Linked DNA regions of Ovis aries. The protein of the gene in region 1 purifies or fractionates together with the protein of each later gene. This does not show direct contact. Links are inferred from orthologs where the notes say so. Each region holds a gene or a part of one and is shown in the gene's direction. Other genes may lie near its edges.

Region 1 (6,511 bases):
GCTCCCGTGGAGGCCTGCAGGCAACTGCTCCCTCTCCTGGGTGATGTAAGTCACTCCCTTGGGGTGGGGGCCACTGGGCTATTTCTGGAAGTAGGGATGAGGCGTGTCTCCTGGCAACATGGATGCAGCTAAGTTGGTGGTGGTGTGATGGAGAGAGGGGGATGTCATCACTGAGGTAGGAGGGAGGACCCTGACTAGTGGTCTCAGCACCTGATTCTAGTGCCTTCAGAGCACCTCTAAACCGGATCTACCATGGAGTCAAAGGTGCTCAGCTCCAGAACCCCTCTCCAGATCAGATCACAGCGCAGCCAGATTTCTTTCCCCAAATTCTGGCTGAGTGGGATGTCACACGTGGCCTCTGGTCTTGAAAACTCCAGCAGCTCCTCTCATCTTTAAAGTGGCCCATCTAAATCTATTCAGTTTCTGCAAGATCATACCCTTGCTCCCTTCCACATCTTTCAGGATCTCTGATACCAAGTAAAAGCTCTTTATAGATCTCAAGACACTTCCATCAATTAATTCATATTGTCAGAGACCCTCTCCTTACCTATAATCCCCAGCACTCCCTCAGTCCCCAGAAATTCCTTTCTTAGGCTTCTCAACCATCCCTCACTTCTTCAGGTCCCTCAGAAATACCCTCAGTCACCATCAGTTTCTCACAGTCTCCCACAGATCTTTTACAGACACCTCAAGTCCTTTCTGACTTCACTCCTCTCCAGGAAGACCATTTTACCTCTTCACACCTCTGAGCATCTCTAGACACCCAGAGGTCCCTCATAGCCACTTACAAACCGCTCTAGCACCCCTCAACAAACGTTCTCATCTCGTACAGACATTCGGATAAGATTCCTTCAGACTGACTCCCTCAGACTCCCACGGACCCCCATATCCTCTGGCGGTTGCACACGTGCGGCCCACTCCGCACTTCCCACGGGTTCTGGCCGTTAAGTAACCGCCACTATTCCGCCCTGTTCTCCTGCCCTTGTAAGCCTTCTTGGTCCAGGTTAGAATTCCCCAGGATTTGGGGTTTGAGTCAGATTTTTGCTTTTGGACTCCGAGCCGCCGTCAGAGGGCAGCAGGAACTGTTTGACTGAGGGATTACTACAACTCCCAGAAGCACCCGCTCTGGACTATGCAGTGATGTAGCCGAATTCATTGCGAAGAGAGCGGAAGTGTGACTGTGCTTTGCCTTCTGGTTAATGTAGTACGAAAGGCTTCAGAGTTACTATCCGTCCTGCCCCAGGAGTCCGCTGGGAATTGCACTCAACTACAGCTTGGACGAGACTTTTTTCAAAGGGCAGGGCAATTAGAGTGATCACAGGATCTGATTAAAGTGAAGCCTAGAACTCCATTTCCCGTCATTCCACGAGGCAGGAGAAGAGGGTGACTTCATTTCAGTTACAAATACTTCCGGAACACACAGACGACACATTCACATGAACTCTTATTTCCCAGCACACACTCACACGAGCTCTGTATACACACACACACACACACTCAAACGAACTCCGTTTCCCAGCGCGCTTTGGACTGCCGTCCTTCCGGGTATTAATCGATAAGTGGTGGCAACATAATGCGAGCACAAAACGCGAGGCTACTCCTAGCAGCTGGCTTCCTTCTTTTGGGCCTTCCAGCATCCTGTAATTTAGGAAGCCTGCGGATTCAAAGAGCTTAATGGGATGTTCAAGATAAATTGTGTTTTCATTTTTTTCAACCTTCAGTTCAGCCTCCAGGTGCAACGTACATTGTTAGGAAAAGCTAGACAATATCCGAAGACTGTATTGTCTTGAAAATCCACCGGAAACTTTGTTTCCTAAATCGTTGGCGGGGAGGGTTTTCCTTCCGGATTTGTGGAAACTTGGGAGTGTTTGCACTCCATTTTCCAGTAGTCCCTGATTGACTTCGGCTCTTTCTTGGGACCTGGCATCAGGAGAGGAGGCGTTGAAACTTTCCGCAGTCTCTTTTAGGCGACTGCCTTTCCCCTTTCGCTCACGCTCTTTCCGGCAAACCTCAGCTGTCTTCTCACAAAGGGTCGGGATCCGGTCTGGACTATTCCCCAGCATGCTTCAGGATTACGGTGGACCCCGCCCCCTCAGTCAATGGTAAGGCCGCCTTGAACTCCATTTCCCAGAAGACACAAGGCTCGCTGTAGCAACTACCCTGAAGCCTCGGTGTTGACTACATTTCCCAGCAGGGATTGCGGCCTAGCGAACGAGGGTGGAGGAATGCTCTGCCTCTCCATTTCCTAGCCTATCTCCGGAACTGCAATATCCACTTGGAGCTTAGGAATCACATGGGACTCCATTTCCCGGCGTGCTTTGGAAGTAGCTTTATACCCGCAATGCGGTGAGGGCGTGGCGACGACTACATTTCCCGGCTTGCCTCACAGCCCGATAGCGGCGGGTCCACCGACTCCGACTCAATTTCCCAGAGTGCACTTGGCACCAGTCGACATACAACCAATAAATTAAGTGAGCGATTGGACTCCGTTTCCCGGAGTGCATCGGACCTATACAGCTCACTGACGGAGTTGCCTGAGACTACATTTCTGAGGCACACCTAGGGACGCGCGGTTGCCGCAATGGAGTGAGTGTGCGACTCTGACTCTGCTTCAGAAAGTGCTTCAGAGTCCGTTGTGGGCAATTGTCCAACTTATTGCCCGGGACTCTATTTTCCGAGGTGCAGCGAGACTCATCATCGCCGCAGCCATCTCTGAGGTCTTTGTGGACTCCATTTCCCAGCGTGCCACGCGGCTCTCTGTGAGGGCCTAGAGCGGCGACGGCGTCGCGTAGGGCCGGCGGACTGCATCTCCCAGCGTGCCCCGCGGCGGGCGCTGGGCCGGAGCCGGAGCCCGAGCGGCGCGGCCTGGAAGAGGCCGGAGCCCGGGGGAGGCGGCGGCGGCGGCAGCGGCGGGGGCAGCCCGGGCAGCCCGAGCCCCGCGGCCTGGGCCTGCGCTCGGCGCCATGAGCGGTGGCGCGCCTTCGGGCGGCGGCCCTGGGGGCTCGGGCCGGGCGCGGACCAGCTCGTTCGCGGAGCCAGGCGGCGGAGGCGGCGGCGGCGGCGGCGGCCCGGGGGGTTCGGCCTCTGGCCCAGGCGGCAGCGGCGGCGGGAAGACGTCAGTCGGAGCCATGGGCGGAGGCGTGGGGGCCTCGAGCTCCGGGGGTGGCCCCAGCGGCAGCGGCGGAGGAGGCAGCGGCGGCCCCGGCGCGGGCACCAGCTTCCCGCCGCCCGGAGTGAAGCTGGGCCGTGAGTACTAGCGGTGCCCGTGGCGGGTGGAGATCGGATCCCTGAAGCCACTCAGACGTCGATCAGGTTCTTCTTTATGCTCAGGGAGGAGCTCGAGGTCACTGTGCCTTCCCAAACTGGGATCTGAGATCTACCCCCTCCCGGAGAGAGGGATTCGGGGGGGTTGCCATCACTTGGAGTGTAGAATTAGAATTAGTAATCCTCCAAAAGACAGGGTCACAGGTTCTTGTTCTTCCAGTCCCGAAGTCTTGGGTCCGTGAACCTTAAAAACAGGAATCTGATGTTGCTATCCATTCGAGAACAGATCAGGGGTCATTGTCGCTTGCAAATGGGGCTCAAGGGTTATTGTTTCTCAAGAGAACACGAATAAGATCACCACCACCCAGAGAAGGGATCTGAATTTGCTCCCCTTTAGAGCATGGGGATTTGAGTATCACTTAGAAGCAGGGATTTGGGCTTGCTGTGGCCTCAAAGCCAGGGCTTTCCAAATCTGATATCCAGATTCCCTTTTAAAACACTATCTGCCCATAATATGTAGAATTGTACACCCAATGGTGGAAATTAATGATTCCTGCTTCTTGAGGACAGATTGGAAGTCAGCATACCTTTCAGACCAAGTTCATAGTCACTAATATTCAAGAAAAGATGTCTTTCTTGAAGGGTTTCCTTTCACAGAAAACGCAATGGGGGCAGGGGCGGTTACCAGTCCCTCCCCTAGAATAAGGATGTGAAGTTATACCCATTTCATTATTCTGATGTATGATGTCATTGACTCTGGATAAATAGCTATATAGGATCCTCTCCCTCACTGGCCCCTCTGAATGGATCTGATTCATCACTGACTTCTTTTCTTTGGGGAACCTTTCACCAGTTACCGCAAGAAGAGGGATCCCTGTCCTCCAAGAATGCCACCAACTTTTGCTGCCATCGCAGAATGTTTTGGGAATTTCCTTTAAAGGACTGAGGCTAGGATAAACCCTTGATGATAGAGATCAGGTTCACCATTCTCACTATTAAGTGTTCGTCCATTAGGGACCAGTTACATACACGATGGGGTCTGGGGCTCTGAACCTCACAGGTGAGGTCAGGCCAGTGCTTTTTTCTAGCCCCAGAGTATTTGGGTAAGAGCTAATTGTCTCCCAAAAGTGAGAGTTAGGGCGCTGGCACTCCCTACGGGAAGAGTCATCCTTTTCTGTCACCAGAAACCAGTGGTGAAGTTACCAGCTGCACTTAGGGAGGACTTAAGAGATCACTGTCCCCCAAGTTGTGGGAAAGGTTAGGGCTTTACTGACATAGAAGTACCTCAGGGTTCCTGCTCTCAAGTGGAAGAGGTTAGGTCAGGCTCTCCCTAGAGAGGAGGGAGCAGAAGGCAGTTAGCTCTCATCATGGATGGATTCAACATCTGGGAGTGGTGGTGCCTCCTCACATCAGGAGGGACCAGTAATTTGCTGCTCACCAGAAGTGGAAATTAGAGGTTACCAACCCTGGCACAGCAAGAGGTTTTATGTGTCAGTATTCTCCCCTGTGGAGGAGTCAGGATTTGGGGTTCCCTGAAGGGAAGAGGGGGAAAGGAGACATCTAGGAGCCACCTTTGAAGATGGGGGAGGGACAAAGACCGTCCCCCGCCCATAAGCTTCCTGTAGAGACTCCCTGCCCTCTCACAGCCCCAGGATGGGGTGGTGGCCCGAGGGAAAAGGTCAGTAGATTGTGTGTTCCCTTTGCTCCCCAGGTGACAGTGGGAAGGTAACCACAGTGGTAGCCACTCTAGGCCAAGGCCCGGAGCGCTCCCAGGAGGTGGCTTACACAGACATCAAAGTGATTGGCAGTGGCTCATTTGGGGTCGTGTACCAGGCACGGCTGGCAGACACCAGGGAATTGGTGGCCATCAAGAAGGTTCTCCAGGACAAGAGGTTCAAGGTAGCTTGCGGGGAACGGGGATCAGGAGGTTTGACTGCACATGACTGGTGGGGGAACTCCAGCAAGAGTGCTGGACTTGGGTTTGTACAGGGGGTCTGAGCATGGGCCAGAGGAGAAGAGAGTGAGCTGTGTGGGGATGTGGATTCCAGGAGAACCCAGAGCTGACTTTTATTGGGCTCTTGTTCTTCGTAAGTGCTTTGTAGGCGAGTTTAACAGCGCAAAGATTCTCTGAGGGTAGGTGCTGTTGTTACTCCTATTCTAAGCAAGCAGAAGCTGGAAACTGAGATTCAGATAAGAGAATTGCACAAGGTCAAGTCTAGAATCTGATTCCCAAGCACTTCACCTTAACCACTGAGTTACTCTGCTACCCAGAAGAGAAAGGAAGCTGGTGGGGCTAATTCTGTCTGCGAAGGTCAGGCTCTGCCCCCAGGGTCTGGCACTTGCTGGGAGAAATCCCGCCTGTGCTGCAGATGCCTGGGTGTGGGGCCCAGGCACCCCTGAGGAAGGGGTCCTTTTCCTCATTCATATATAGTGCCCTGTGAGCTGGTAGAGGCCCTTTGGATCCTGTATAGTCGGGACGTAGGAGAAACTGAGCCTGGGCTGAAGAAACCAGGTCAGAGTTTAGGTCTCGGGCAGTGAGGACTCTCAGGGGCAGGTCTTCCTCCAGGGCGCCGGTCAGAATTTGATTATAGGTAAGTCCCGAAAGTGAGAGGAGTCTGAGGATGGGGGCCTCTGAGGCCCCAGGGGGGAACAGGAGAGGCAAGAGCGCTAAGACTGGTCTTGTGGGAAGAGGCTGAGGCTGGATCTCTACTGGGAAGGTGAGGATGAGAAGCCTGGAGGCCAGGACTCGGGATCCGAGCGCCCAGATGCCTTCCGTGAAAGCATGGAGCGGCGTGGGGACTAGGGGCATCTGGATGACCCCTCCCTGTCTAGTGTTGCTCTTGCCAGGCAGGGAAGTGGGCCTCATGTGGCCACATCATGTGATTTTCAAGAGAAGCTGAAAAACTTAGATTTACATGTGAAGTCATTTGCTTTGTAAATCTGAGCAAAAAATCAAACATTTTTAAGAAGTAGGCTGCAAGAAGCACATGTAAGTGATCTGACTTTAGTTGTGTGTGAGGGGAGCTAGGGGTGAGGAATTAGGGGCTGCTCCATATGGGGCCTTGGAGCTAACGCACGGAGTGGCTGCTTGGCCCTGCCGGCAGGAATGGGAGTAGAGCTGTGGTGAGGGGTGCTCGGGAGGGGAGGCGGGGAGAGTGGCTTGTCTACTGAGGCTCTCTTCCCTTGCCCCCCAAGAACCGAGAGCTGCAGATTATGCGTAAGCTGGACCACTGCAATATCGTGAGGC
Region 2 (6,511 bases), on another chromosome or scaffold:
CTTAATAGTAAAAGACTGAATACTTTCCCTGAAGATCAGGAACAAGACAAGGATGTCTGCCCTCACCACTTCTCTTCAATCTTGTTCTAGAGGTTTCAGCCAGAGAATTAGGCAGGAAAAACAAACCCCATCCAGATTAGAAAGAAAGAAATAAACCTTCATCTGTCGGCAGATATGATCTTGTACACAGAAAATCCTAAGGAATCCACTGAAATAAGGTGATGATTTTTAAGACACCCTGTAGAAGTCCAGAATTCCAAGATTTAAAAATTCATTCGCTTTCTTCATACTGCCTCTTCCTTTATTCTCACATTCTTCCCTCCAAACTTGACAAAACTTCCCACCTCTTCCCTCCATCCCACTCCTCCCTAAAGGTTTGCTCCTGTTATTAGCATCTTGGAACTGCCCACCAAGACCCTTGTTTCTACTTACCTGGATCCCCAGGCTCCAGTTTCTTTCCAAATAATGCTAGTCCCCTGCTCCATACTGTAAAGTAGCTCTCTACTGCCTGGCTTCTGTATTTGTATGTGTGTACTTTGTGGCTAATTGTTAAAACAGCTTTACTGACATGTAATTTACATGCCAATTAAATGAGTTTTTACCCTCAGAATGGGAGAAAATAATAGCAAAGGAAACAATTGACAAAGGATTAATCTCCAAAATATGCAAGCAGCTCATGCAACTCAATGCCAGAAAAACATACAACCTAATGAAAAAGCTGAAGTGAAGTCGCTCAGTTGTGTCCGACTCTTCCAGGCAAGAATACTGGAGTGGGCTGCCATTTCTTTCTCCAAGGGATCTTCCCAACCCAGGGCTTGAACCTGGGTCTCCTGCATTGCAGACAGATGCTTTACCTTCTGAACCACCAGGGAAACCCAATCAAAGAGTGGGCAGAAGACCTAAACAGACATTTCTCCAAAGACACACAGATGGCTAAAAAACACATGAAAAGATACTCAGCATCACTCATTATTAGAGAAAAGCAAATCAAAACTACCATGAGGTATCACCTCACAGCGGTCAGAATGGCCATCATTTAAAAGTTTACAAACAATAAAAGCTGAAGAGGGTGTGGAGAAAAGGGAAACCTCTTGCACTGTTGGTGGGAATGAAAATTGATACACCCACTAATAGAACAGTACGGAGATTCCTTAAAAGACTAGGAATAAAACTACCATATGACCCAGCAATCCCACTACTGGGCATATATCCCGAGGAAACCATAACTGAAAAACATACATGTACCCCAACGTTCACTGCAGCACTATTTACAATAGCTAGGACATGGAAGCAACACAGAAGCAATCTAAGTGTCCACTGACAGACGAATGAATAAAGAAGTTGTGGATTGCACACACAATGGAATATTACTCACCTATAAAAAGGAACGCATTTGAGTCCATTCTAATGAGGCGGACGAACCTAAAGCCTATTATAAAAAGTGAAGTAAGTCAGAAAGAGAAAAATAAATATTGTATATTAACACATACATATGGAATCTAGAAAAATGGTACTGATGAATCTATTTGTAGGGCAGCAATGGAAACGCATACATAGAGAACAGACTTTGGACCCATGGAGTAAGGAGAGAGTGGGACAAATGGAGAGAGTAGCGTGAAAACATACATTACCAGATATAAAACAGCCATTGGGAATTTGCTGTAGGACCCAGGGAACTCAAATCACTCTGTGATAATGTAGAGCAGTGAGATGGGGTGGGAAGCGGGAGGGAGGTTCAAGAGGGAAGGGACATATGGGTGGCTCAGATGGTAAAGCGTCTGCCTACAATGCGGGAGACCCCGGTTCAAACGGAGAAGGCAATGGCAATCCACTCCAGTACTCTTGCCTGGAAAATCCCATGGATGGAGGAGCCTGGTAGGCTACAGTCCATGGTGTCGCGAGTCGGACACGACTGAGCGACTTCACTCCACTCACTCCATGGATGACTCATGTTGATGTATGGTAGAAACCAACACAATATTGTAAAGCAATTATTCTTCACTAAGAAATTGTTCAGTCGCTAAGTTATGTCCAACTCGTTGCAACCCCATGAACTCCAGAACACCAGGCTTCCCTGCCCTTCACTGTCTCCTGGAATTTGCTCAAACTCATGTCCATTGAGTCAATGATTAAATTAAAAATAAAATTTTTTTCAATAAATGATTTTTAGAAAATTTACCGAGTTGTGCAACCATTACCATAATCCCATTTTGGAATATTTCAATCACCCTGCTATTATCCCTCCCCTATAAAGGTTGGTCCACCAAAAATCTACCTACAAGGGTAATTAATGTTCAGAAGTTAGGCCTGAGGGGTTTGGGATTTTTAATACAGGTTTTAAAACTCCAAACAATACGATGATAAAGAATCGTTCTCTATCTCTCTTTCTTTTAAAAAATGAAGTCTTGGTTAATCATTAAACCAACCAGGATATCTTGGAGGGTTACCATGGCCGTGTCTCCATTTCCATCCAAATAGCTGACCGTTTTCCTCTCCTGCTACCCATTTCAGAAAGGATACTCCCCTACTGGGTTGAGTCATTCTTCTTAAAAGAACTTTCTAGCTCGCCGCTCCCCCCAAGACGAGCAACCTCCTCTACAGTAACTGTCCAGGTCCCCACATACCCACGCTCCCGATCAAAAAAACACGAATCAGTGGCTTTTCTTTGCCAATTTCCAATCCGCCACCCCCATCGCACCACAGGGTCCCCTTCCTTTTCATCTGTCAGCCTCGTTTCCCTAATCTCCAGACAGATCCCTAGCCTGACGCCTTCTCTCCATCACTCGCCTCACTCACGCTGCCATCACTTCCCAAATGCCGGCATCCCTAACCTCAAAAGCGTAAATGCCAAAACCAGACACGTTGACGCGCCTAGAGAAGTGTGTGGGTGTGTGGGTGTAAGTGTCTGTGCTTGTGTGTGGAAGAAACCAACAGAGGCCACGCCGGTGTCCATCTTCTGGATATGTCAATCATGCCAGGCTCAGAGAGCGAAGATCGGCTCCCCAGTTCCCCCCGCAGACAGCAATCAGGGCTGTAAAGCTCAGAGGGAGCAAGGCTTCACCCACGACTCTTGCCCAGAGGTTGCCCGGGCCCCCAAATGCACGGAGCACCCCTCCTCGGCCCGGTGGTAGGGCCCGGCGGCTACGTCACCCATTGTTTACAAATCAACCCGAGCCGGTAGGATTCCGGCTCCCGCGGCTGCAGGCGCGCGGCGCGAGTGCCTGGCGGGCTCCGGCTTCCGCGTCCGCCCGGGCTCCGGCTTTGGCCTCGGCACCGCGCCCGGCTTCGCCGCGGCCCACCGAGCCCCCGGGACAGCCGAGCCGCCAGCGACCCCCGCACAGCTCCGGGTGCCGGCGCCGGGGGCCATGCCGTGCCGGAGGGAGGAGGAAGAGGAAGCCGGCGAGGAAGAGGAGGAGGAGGAGGACAGCTTCCTACTGCTGGAACAGTCGGTGACTGTGGGCGGCTCGGTTGAGGTGGACCGGCTGGTGGCCCAGATCGGCGAGACGCTGCAGCTGGACGCGGCGCAGGACCGCCCTGCCTCCGCGTGCGCGCCCCCGGGGCCGCCACTGCAGCCCCCGCGGCCCCCGGCGGCGGTGAGAGCGGACAAGGCCCGGGCCCCAGCGCAGCCGCTGCTTCTACCGGCCGCGTCGGTCGAGGCTGGGGGCCCGGCGCCCCCGGGGGCCTTGCGCTGCGCCCTCGGGGACCGCGGCCGCGTGCGGGGCCGGGCTGCGCCCTACTTTGTGGCGGAGCTCGCCGCAGGCCCCAGCGCGCTGTCCCCATTGCCCCCTCAGCCCAGCCTTGACGGGCCTTTGGGAGCAGACAAACGGGGTTCCCCGCAGCCCCTGTCGGGCCCTTGCCGGCGAGGTTGGCTGCGGGACGCCGCTGCCTCCCGCCGCCTCCAGCACCGACGCGGGCTACAGCCTACAGCCCGCAACGGCGACGACGACCCGCACCGGCTCCTGCAGCAGCTCGTGCTCTCGGGAAACCTCATCAAGGAGGCGGTGCGGAGGCTTCATTCGCGACGGCTGCAGTTGCACGCAAAGCTCCCCCAGCGCCAGCTCCTGGGCCCTCTGTCGGCCCCAGTGCATGAGCCCCCTTCGCCCCGCAGCCCTCGCGCGGCCTGCAGCGACCCCGGCGCGTCCGGGAGGAGGGCGCAGCTCAGAACAGGCGACAGCGTTCTAGTCCCTGGCAGCTAACACCTCGAGAGTGGCCACTGCGCGAGCCTCTGCCTGAAGGGCAAGGGGTTCCCCTGAGGGCTATATCTCTACTCAAACTGGTGAAGTCGCACTTCCGGAAGCGGGAAAATACCTTATATGAAGATGAGGAATCGAAAAATTGAGAATGTGTTCGCGGGAACTGAGGTCTAGGGCCCCGACGTGGTTGACTTCGTTGGTGCCACTGAAGGCAGATTACAGAGTGCACCCCAAGCTCGCAGTCAGTAGGACTCCTCACTGGTGTGACCAGCCCTGGTGGCGCAGCGTGCGGTTCCACGCAGCCTCTCGGGTACTCTAACCTGGCAACCACGTGGCCGGAGTCCATGCTTCACAGGATCGCGGAGCGCCCAAAGGCCAAGGATGACCCCAGTTACTTGCTTTACCTTTCCAAGGCTGGTTCCTGATTCACTTTAGGAGAGGGGAACATTTGTAGATCATTTAAGGGAGTACCTCAAACTGCCAGACTTGAAATTTTACGACACTTTAAAAAAAAACAAAACACCTATCTCGTGTATTTTGAGGTGCTTGTACTTGGTATAAAACACGCGGCACCGTGAAAGGACATTTTGGAGAACTGAATAGAAGTAACCTTTTCTCTGCGAACCCCCACCCCACCCGCTTTGCGACTGTCAGCGTTTCTCAGAGCGGCGGGGGAAGGCGGAGCACCTGGGATGCTAATTGGACGTGGGGGTGAGAGGTCCTGGGGAAAGGTGAGGGCGCGGCGCGGAGCGAACCCGCGGTCCTCTTGAATGTGTATTTTCACCGTCTGTCCGCCCCTCCTCGGGTTCAAGGTCACCATTTCCTGGGCGCAAACGAGATTGCGGGGCTCTAGCAGGGCAGAGTCACCCGGTTCTGCCTGTACTCGGAGTAGTACGCGGTGTTTTGCAAGTGCTGGAGTCTTCTGAGGACACGGGCACCGCTGCCACCGCGGGTTGAGGGAGGTGGCGACGTGCTAGGCGCCGGTGCCTCCTGCGGGCGGCCGCGCCCTGGACTTTGACGGAAACTGCCCGGAGAACTGGCCTCGAGTCCCTCCTCTTCCCCTCCGCTGTGCTGTCCAACTCTAGCTGGTGGCGCTGCCGCTCCTGGGGGCCCAGGCTGGGGGCTGGGAGACACCACGTGATGGGGCACTCCAGGGACACACAGCCTAGCGCAGCAGCTTATAATGGGCTCTCCGGGGCCATTTGCAATAACAGCTGCAATTCCCTGGATAGATGGAGTTGATTTCCTCCTTCTGCCCCTCCCCCCAGCCGTGCCAGCTTGCCTTTGTAAGTGAAGGAAACCGAGTAAAAAAATGTGACCCTCCGAATGGAGAAGCTGCAGAATTTGCCATTGTGAACCTGGTGAAGTGCTCGTAACAATGTTAACGCAGTCTAAAGGCTCTAAGACGGTATTGTTGATGTTTTAGTTGTATAAGATTCAATGGCATGTTCGTCATCCAGATGTGGCTATTGACATACCTACACTTCGCACCGGAGTGTCTGGAATTGTGGCTATCCTGATTATAGGATGTTAACTTAACTGAAATATCTGTTTTTAATAAATGTGTTGGTTTTTTTGTTTGGTTTTATTTTATACTTGTCAGCGGTGGGAAAGATGCACAGAACACATTTCTCTGATCTCCATAAACATGAAAACACTTGAAATCCTTGTCAGGCCTGGCTTGTGGATGGTAATTAGAGCGCCTTTGTGTCTGAGCAGCTCCCTAGTTAGGGTCTGCGCCGGCTGGGTGTGTATTGGTGCTGGCATGAAATTAAATGAAAGTGAGGTCAGGATTTGGACCAGTCCCATTCACTAAAACCTTAGAGCTTCTGGATTACTAGTCAGTGCTGGAGAAGCTGCCCCTGACTGTATTAGCAAAGGACATCAGATCAGTCAGTCACTGCAGATTGGGAAGCTTATCGCTTTTTTCTTTCTACTGTGGTTATTAAGTGGACTTGTTCCACAAGGTGGCCCTTTAAGAGCTGGGGTCAGCTCTTGGTTAGGGGGTACTCAGGGTGCAAATGTGCAGTGGGAAAGCTGCTTGGGGGTGGGATGGCAGGTATGAAGGGACTCCTCTCTTTGCCCTTGGCACATTTACTCCCTGTTTCTCCCCAACAGCCCATCTCTATCCCTCTGGTTCTCAGTTACTTCAGTCTGTTTCCTCCAGGAAGAAGCCATGCTGGACAACAGGACATCCAGAGTTCAAGTCCCCTTATTAAATGGGAACCTTGGACAAGTTGCTTAACCTCTATGGGCTTCAGTTGCCCCATTTGTATAAAAGATGAGAAATGAGATGATAAGGAAACAAGTTCCTTGTG
Region 3 (6,411 bases), on another chromosome or scaffold:
TCCTGTTTCTAGCCGCAGAACATGGCTTAGTACCTGCCTGTTGAATCTGCAGTCAGTGTTTGAGGATCCATGAGCGCTTCTTCCTGCTTGAGACGAGAGGCCAGCGGGGTGTGGAGGGCTTTTCAGGGACGTCCCTGATGATTTCCAGGTCCTGGAGGGCAGCCAGCCCCCGGCCCCGCAGGGGGCCACCCTACCCCGTCCAACTGCTCCCTGGGGAAGGGAAGAGAGTGCCCAGCTCAGAGCAGCATCTGTTTCTGAGTCCTTCCTGCCAGCCGCAGAGAACCCAACTGGCCCACTGGTTATGTCGCATGCAGAAAATGAGCTCATCGAATTGCTGGTCCCACGTTGCATTGGTGTGTTCAGACTGTTGCAACTCCTCTCCAAAGCTCCTGGAACAATCCAGGGCACTCAGATTTGTGAAAATAGCCGATGAAGATGGCTTTTCTGGGGACCTCTAGCACCCCCCTTCTCAACCACCGTCTCTTCACCCCAGTACAACAGTATCCATGAGATGTATATGTTTTGATTTGGTAGAGCCAGGGTGCTGGGGGAGTTTTGTGCTTTTAAGAAAAGTTCTGTTGCCCAGGCTTAAATTACGTGATTTTTGTCCTGGGGAGTGCAAACCGGTCTTCTTCAGCAGGCGGCACTTTGCTGGGGTGTGGGGGGCCTGCATGGAGCCAGCCTGGGGGAGAATGGCAGCTGCCTCCAGATGGGCCCACCCCTCCTGGGGTCCTGTGGCTCAGCGGTTGCCGTGGTGAGGCTCAGTTCTTTGCTGAGGTGGGGAGATGCTGGCCTCTGCAGGTTGGCTTTCTGTTGCCCTCCTCCCCCTCAAGAAAAGGGCCAAAGCAGGAGGGAAGTGGGGGGAGGAGGCAGAAGGACCAGGGGTGGGAGTGGGGGGCTCAGGACGACAGGAGGGGACAGAGGGCCGGCGGCGGGGGTTCTCTGTCGGCTGCTCTTGGCAGTGTTCTGGTGCCTTTTTATATTCTGTGCTTGACTTGGAGATGTTCCCTTTTCCCTTGATAGATCAGCTTCAGGCAGCCAAGCTCAGCAGTGTTCTGCTACTAGCCTGCAGCAGCTTTCTTCATTTTCTGTACAAAGAGATGGCAGGAGGGGTGGGCCAGAACGAGGGGGTGGGTGCAGTGTTAGACAACACCGCCTCAAAGGTGCACAGTGTGCGGCCAGGGAAGAAATTGCCGCTGCTTCTGATCTGGGCCCTGTGACTCCTTTTTTTTTCTTTTGCTCCCCCCTACCTCCCTTCCAATCTTATTTTTTCACATTCCCAACTCCCTTTCTGTTTAGGCTCATACTTTTTATTCCTTGAGTTGCGCTCTCCCCTCCCCATTGCAGAGAGCTGCCTTTTTTTTTTTTTTTTTTTTTTTTTTTGATGTTTGACAACAGTCTTTGAAGATTTTCAACTTCAGAGTAGCGACTGATGGGCTGGTTGTACTACAGAGGGAGCGCGCGCGGCCTCTGGGAGTGCGACCAACTGCTTGTGCCCACGGCGCACGGCCGGGGACCGTGGCTCTCCATGAGGCCGCGGTGCCGGCACATAAAGCGGCCATGCCACCCAGGCCCCGCTCCGCCCAGTCTCCGCGCGGCTGTGGACCTGGCCGCATCCCGACACCCGTTCCCCGGCCCTGGCAGCCTCCTGACGGCAAGCATCCCGTCTCCTTCCCGCGCCCCGCAGAGAACCCACCGGCTGCCCAAGGAGATGACCCCCGTGGAGCCTGCCGCCTTCGCGGCCGAGCTCATCGCCCGGCTGGAGAAGCTGAAGCTGGAGCTGGAGACGCGGCACAGCCTGGAGGAGCGGCTGCAGCAGATCCAAGAGGTGGGCGCCATGCCGCCCCTGCCCCCGTATTAGCGGGGGAGGGGGCTCCTGCTGACCGGGCCACCTCCCCCAACCAACGCTGCCTTCCTTTCCAGGATGAGGAAAAGGAGGGCACGGAGTTGGCACCGGGCTCACGGGAGGCAGGGCCCGCGCCGCACCCCCTTTGCCTCCTGCCGTCTAGCAGCTACGAGGAGGACCCGCAGACCATCCTGGACGACCACCTGTCCAGGGTCCTCAAGACCCCCGGCTGCCAGTCCCCGGGCGTGGGCCGCTACAGCCCCCGCGCGCGCTCCCCCGACCACCACCACCGCCACCACCTCCAGCCGCACCGCGCGCTGCCCCCGCCCGGGGGCCCCCTGCCCCCCGCCGCCGTCCCGGCCAGCTGCTCCCTCCTCGGGGCCAGGGGCTTCGTGAGCAGGCAGGCCACAAAGCACGTCCACCACCACTACATCCACCACCACGCAGGCCCCCGGACCAGGGACGAGGCGGAGGCCGAGGCCGCCCCACGTGCGCGCTGCCCCTGCCCGGTCCCCGCGGGCGCCGACTTCTCCTGCTGCGCCAAGTGCAAGAGCCACCCCGGGGTCCCCGAGCCCCCGGGGGCCGCCCAGCTTGGGTGAGCGACCCTGTGCGAGGGTGGGGCGGCGGCAGGGAGGGGCGGGGCTGCGGCGGCGCTCGCGGGGGCTGAGATGGACGCGCTCCTCTGTCCCACCAGCAGCCGGGGCGGCGTCCCCCCCAGACGAAGCGCGAGAGGCTCCGAGCCGGGCCCCACGGTGCCGGCCAGGGAAGCCGGGGCTCCCGGAGGAGCGGGGTCCCTGCAGCCGCCTGGGGAGGAAGGAGACAGGGCTCAGGTCGTGTGGCAGTGGGTGCTGGAGAGCGAGCGGCCCGGCAAGCCCAAGCCCCACAGGTGAACCGCGGCGCGGCCCGCCCCGGGGCGTGGGGGTAGGCTGTCCGGGTGGCCGGAGCGAGGGGGCGGGGGTTGCCGCCCTCCCAGCGCCAGCAGCTGCGCTGAGACCGCAGAAGTGCCGCGTCCTGGCAGCGCCAGGTGGTGGTATGGCCCAGCTATCTTTTTTTTCTTTTTGCTCTCCGGAGGCAGGATGGAGAGCTCGCTGGTGGAGTCACATTTTCCAGTTTTCCTAACCGCATTTCTTACCCTCGGTTTCCTCTCTCCACCTTTCTCCTCCAGCGCCCAGAGCACCAAGCGGGCCTACCCCACGGAGTCGGCCCGCATGTCCCCAGCAGAGCGGGCCGGCCGCCACCACCTGTGGGGGGGCGGCACTGGGCACCCCCGCACTGTTCCTCGGGCCCACCCAGCTTGCACCCAGGACTCCGCGGTGCCTCCCCTGACCCCACCTAACACCCTGGCCCAGCTGGAGGAGGCGTGCCGCCGGCTGGCTGAAGTGTCCAAGCCCCCAAAGCAGCGGTGAGTAGACAGGCTGCAGCAGTCAGGGGCGGGGCAGGCCAGAGGACCCATGCCTTGAGGTCCAGCTGCTCTGACAGGCTCACTGGGATCTGGCCAGTCGTGCCTGCAAGAAAGAGAAGGAATCTCTGAAATTCCTTGCAAATCCCATTCCTTGAGTGTCCCAGTCAGTGGGGGTTGTGAGATGAGCTCCAAGGCGCTGTGACCCGCTGGGGATCCAGTACCTGCAGCCCTCGGCCTGGGTGGGCCGCGTGTAGTCCCGGGGGCCCAGGGCTCAGCATGGCTGGGCCAGGCCCGGGGGCTCCTGTCCACACAAGGCCTGGGTGGGACTCCGCCCAGGGGGCGTTGGAAGCCGGGGAGGCTGGCTCTCTGTTTTCCCTTGGCCCCAGGGATCCCTCTCAACCTTTCCTGGCCCTGGGAGTTCCTGTCCACACAAGGCCAGGGTGGGGCTCCGCCCGGGGGACGTCGGAAGCAGGGGAGGCTGGCTCTCTGCTTTCTCTTGGCCCCAGGGATCCCTCTCAACCTTTCCTGTGTTAGGTGCTGTGCGGCTGGCCAGCAGAAGGACAGGAGCCACCCGGGCCCTGGGATGCCGGGCGCCGCGCCCTTCTCCAGCCCAAGCCCAGCTTTGGAAGAGTGAGTGTCTTGGCCTGGTGACGCTGAGGTCTGCCCAGAGGCTTTGTGTTTTCAGGGTATTCATGTCAGGGGTTGCAATTTTTGAAAACTTTTTTAGTCTATAAAATCATCTTGATTTTAACATCCAAGACAAGGAATTGTAAACCCAGATGGTGCCATAGATCAGAGTCTGGAAAACCCCTGTCCAAGAGGAACGCATGGTGACTCGTAGTAACACGCGGGTGTCCTCTTCGTGAAGTGGTGGTTGGCTCAAGGTCACAAGCTGAGAGCGAAGCCTTTAGCTTCTGGTTAGAGAACCCCAAACACAGATGGAAAAGCTGTTCCCATCCACCTGGAAGGCTAATGGGTTGAAAACGTTTGCGTGGAACTGAGCAGGAAGGCGCTTCTCCCCGGTTGCAGAGACAGACGAAGGGCCCATCCTTGCTGTCTTGCAGGGGCCGGTGTTGGGAGTGGCGGGAAAAGCATCTCCCCGCCGATGCCCCAGTTCCTGTTGTCAAGTTACGCTCCTGTGACCGGACAGGGAAGCCAGGCTTCTTTTGGTTCCGGGACGGTGTGTGAAAAGAGTGGTCAGCTGCTGAGATCTGAAGTGGTTGAAATCATTCACCTGTCCGTCCTTAGCTGCTCTATCATGAGTAGTGTTCAAAGAGAGAAAAAAACCTCTACAGTGTTTTAATTGGTTGACCTTAAGTTGACCAGGTGTTTGGGCCTATTGCGCTTTTTTTAGCCATTCTGCAAAAACTCAGAAGTTGCAGTGACTGAGGGCTGATCCCCACACACCCCCACCATGGGCCCTGGCGTTCCGAGTTCACGCCATCCCTGGGCAGAGGCAGAAACCACAGACCCTGGCTGGGGCGAGTGTGGTGTCCTGGTCACTCTGGGAGGGTTCCTATCTTTGGAGGCAAGTTCCCTGTGATGCCCCCCAATGGACATGGCTCCGTCCTCCCATTGGGCGGCACACACACACCTGTGTGCCCTGCACTGATGACCTTGCCCAGGGCCCTCGGCACACACAGCTACAGCCTCACCTCTGAAGATACAGTTTGCAGACCTCCTGGGGGTGTGTGCGCTCTGACCGCTTTCAAATGCTGGACCTGTGGCTTTTCCATCTCATTTTCAGCCACAAGGAGCCCAGGAAGCTGGCAGGGATGCACGCGCTCCAGGCCAGTGAGCTGGTGGTCACTTACTTCTTCTGCGGGGAGGAGATCCCCTACCGGCGGATGCTGAAGGCCCAGAGCCTGACCTTGGGCCACTTTAAGGAGCAGCTCAGCAAAAAGGGAAACTACCGGTAAGCATCCTGTGGCTTTCCTCTGCTCCAGAGTCGGTTTGCTCAGAACCAAGAGCCAGGGTCACCTCTCAGCCCCCAGACCTGCAGGGGCCAGGTGGGCGGGCAACCTGGGGCTTTGCTCTGTCTCCTTTCCTCCGACTCCCCCACCCCTGCCCCTCCTAGAGATAGCACAGGGCTGGGCGGGCTTTCTCTAGCAGGAGAAGTGGACTCAGGAGCCAGGGGACAGCTGGCTTTTTCAGAAGAGCCGGGCAGGAGCCTGAAAGGGAGAGCGTGGGGAGAACAGAGGGGTCGGACAGACTGATGAGGAGGCTGAAAGGCGGCCCTTGGGCAGGTCCGGGAGAGACTGCCACCCATGACACGTGGCATCGTGCCCCCTCAGCTCTGGGTCCCAGGTAGTGTGAGGCAGGGTGGCCTGAAGCGGACAAAGGGCAGGACCTGTGGGTGGGTGTGGGGGCACAGGGCTGCCCACTCTTCCTGCCAGGACCTGGGGAAGACGCCCTGCCGTCCCCCCAGGCCTCTCCCCACCTACAGGGTGCAGACCCCGCCCCTGGCGTGCCAGCCCCAGGCGTCCTTGGTTACTTTTCTCTTGCCTTGTCTGGTTCATCCAGAGCCCTAGCTGGCCTTGTCGGCTGCCTCCATCCCAGAGGAGTATGCGGGTTGTGTCCAGCTGTGTCCTGGGTGCCATGTGCAGGGCCAGGACGAGGAGCGGGGAGCAGTCAGGGGGCACGGGTCAGAGAGGAGCCCAGCTGGGGCGCAGAAGCTACCGCCCCAGTGCCCCCCCGAGCGAGGGAGGGAGTGCGAGAACTTTAGCATCCCTTAGCAAGTGGCCTGATGGGTGAGCCCACCTCCCGGGCCCGAGACCCCCGCCCTTCAGAGCAGGCCCCCTGCAGCCCGGAATGACTTGGTTTGCAGGGAAGGGAGCAGGGCTCAGGGCTGGGACCGTGCCAGTGACAGACCACAGGCCTTGGGCCGGGCTGGCGTCTTCCTGGTTCACACCTGGGCAGAGGTGGTTCTGGAGATGAACAGAGGGGGAACGGGCCTGGCTTATCTCGCACAGACCCAGGCGAGGGTAGGGGCACACGTCCCCCTCCAGGGACCCATCAGGACCTCAGCTTTGGCGCGGCTGGCCCTTGCGTGGGACTGCAGGTGACTTTCCGGGGGGCCCAGAGCATGGAGCAGGGCAGCCCCCGCTTGGACGCTCTGGCCACATCTGGCCTGGATCCTGTCTGTCCCGAGGCACGCTCAGCG

Evidence for each region.
Region 2: the proteins of GSK3A (region 1) and FRAT1 purify together in Homo sapiens (affinity purification with mass spectrometry; 4 studies listed by BioGRID and IntAct, with this or other methods). This does not show direct contact. The link is inferred for Ovis aries from reciprocal best matches to the Homo sapiens genes GSK3A and FRAT1.
Region 3: the proteins of GSK3A (region 1) and AXIN2 purify together in Homo sapiens (affinity purification with mass spectrometry; 3 studies listed by BioGRID and IntAct, with this or other methods). This does not show direct contact. The link is inferred for Ovis aries from reciprocal best matches to the Homo sapiens genes GSK3A and AXIN2.

Annotation. Positions count from the first base shown.
Region 1 is NC_056067.1:50,611,203-50,617,713, forward strand, and holds the start of GSK3A (glycogen synthase kinase-3 alpha), read left to right. Parts: upstream 1-2,835; 5' UTR 2,836-2,963; coding exon 2,964-3,246; intron 3,247-4,975; coding exon 4,976-5,163; intron 5,164-6,459; coding exon 6,460-6,511. UniProt on the Homo sapiens protein: Constitutively active protein kinase that acts as a negative regulator in the hormonal control of glucose homeostasis, Wnt signaling and regulation of transcription factors and microtubules, by phosphorylating and inactivating glycogen synthase (GYS1 or GYS2), CTNNB1/beta-catenin, APC and AXIN1.
Region 2 is NC_056075.1:18,393,640-18,400,150, forward strand, and holds FRAT1 (proto-oncogene FRAT1), read left to right. Parts: upstream 1-3,187; 5' UTR 3,188-3,365; coding exon 3,366-4,196; 3' UTR 4,197-5,769; downstream 5,770-6,511. UniProt on the Homo sapiens protein: Positively regulates the Wnt signaling pathway by stabilizing beta-catenin through the association with GSK-3. May play a role in tumor progression and collaborate with PIM1 and MYC in lymphomagenesis.
Region 3 is NC_056064.1:61,410,502-61,416,912, reverse strand, and holds part of AXIN2 (axin-2), read left to right. Parts: intron 1-1,687; coding exon 1,688-1,828; intron 1,829-1,923; coding exon 1,924-2,441; intron 2,442-2,540; coding exon 2,541-2,732; intron 2,733-3,011; coding exon 3,012-3,248; intron 3,249-3,782; coding exon 3,783-3,878; intron 3,879-4,995; coding exon 4,996-5,163; intron 5,164-6,411. UniProt on the Homo sapiens protein: Inhibitor of the Wnt signaling pathway. Down-regulates beta-catenin. Probably facilitate the phosphorylation of beta-catenin and APC by GSK3B.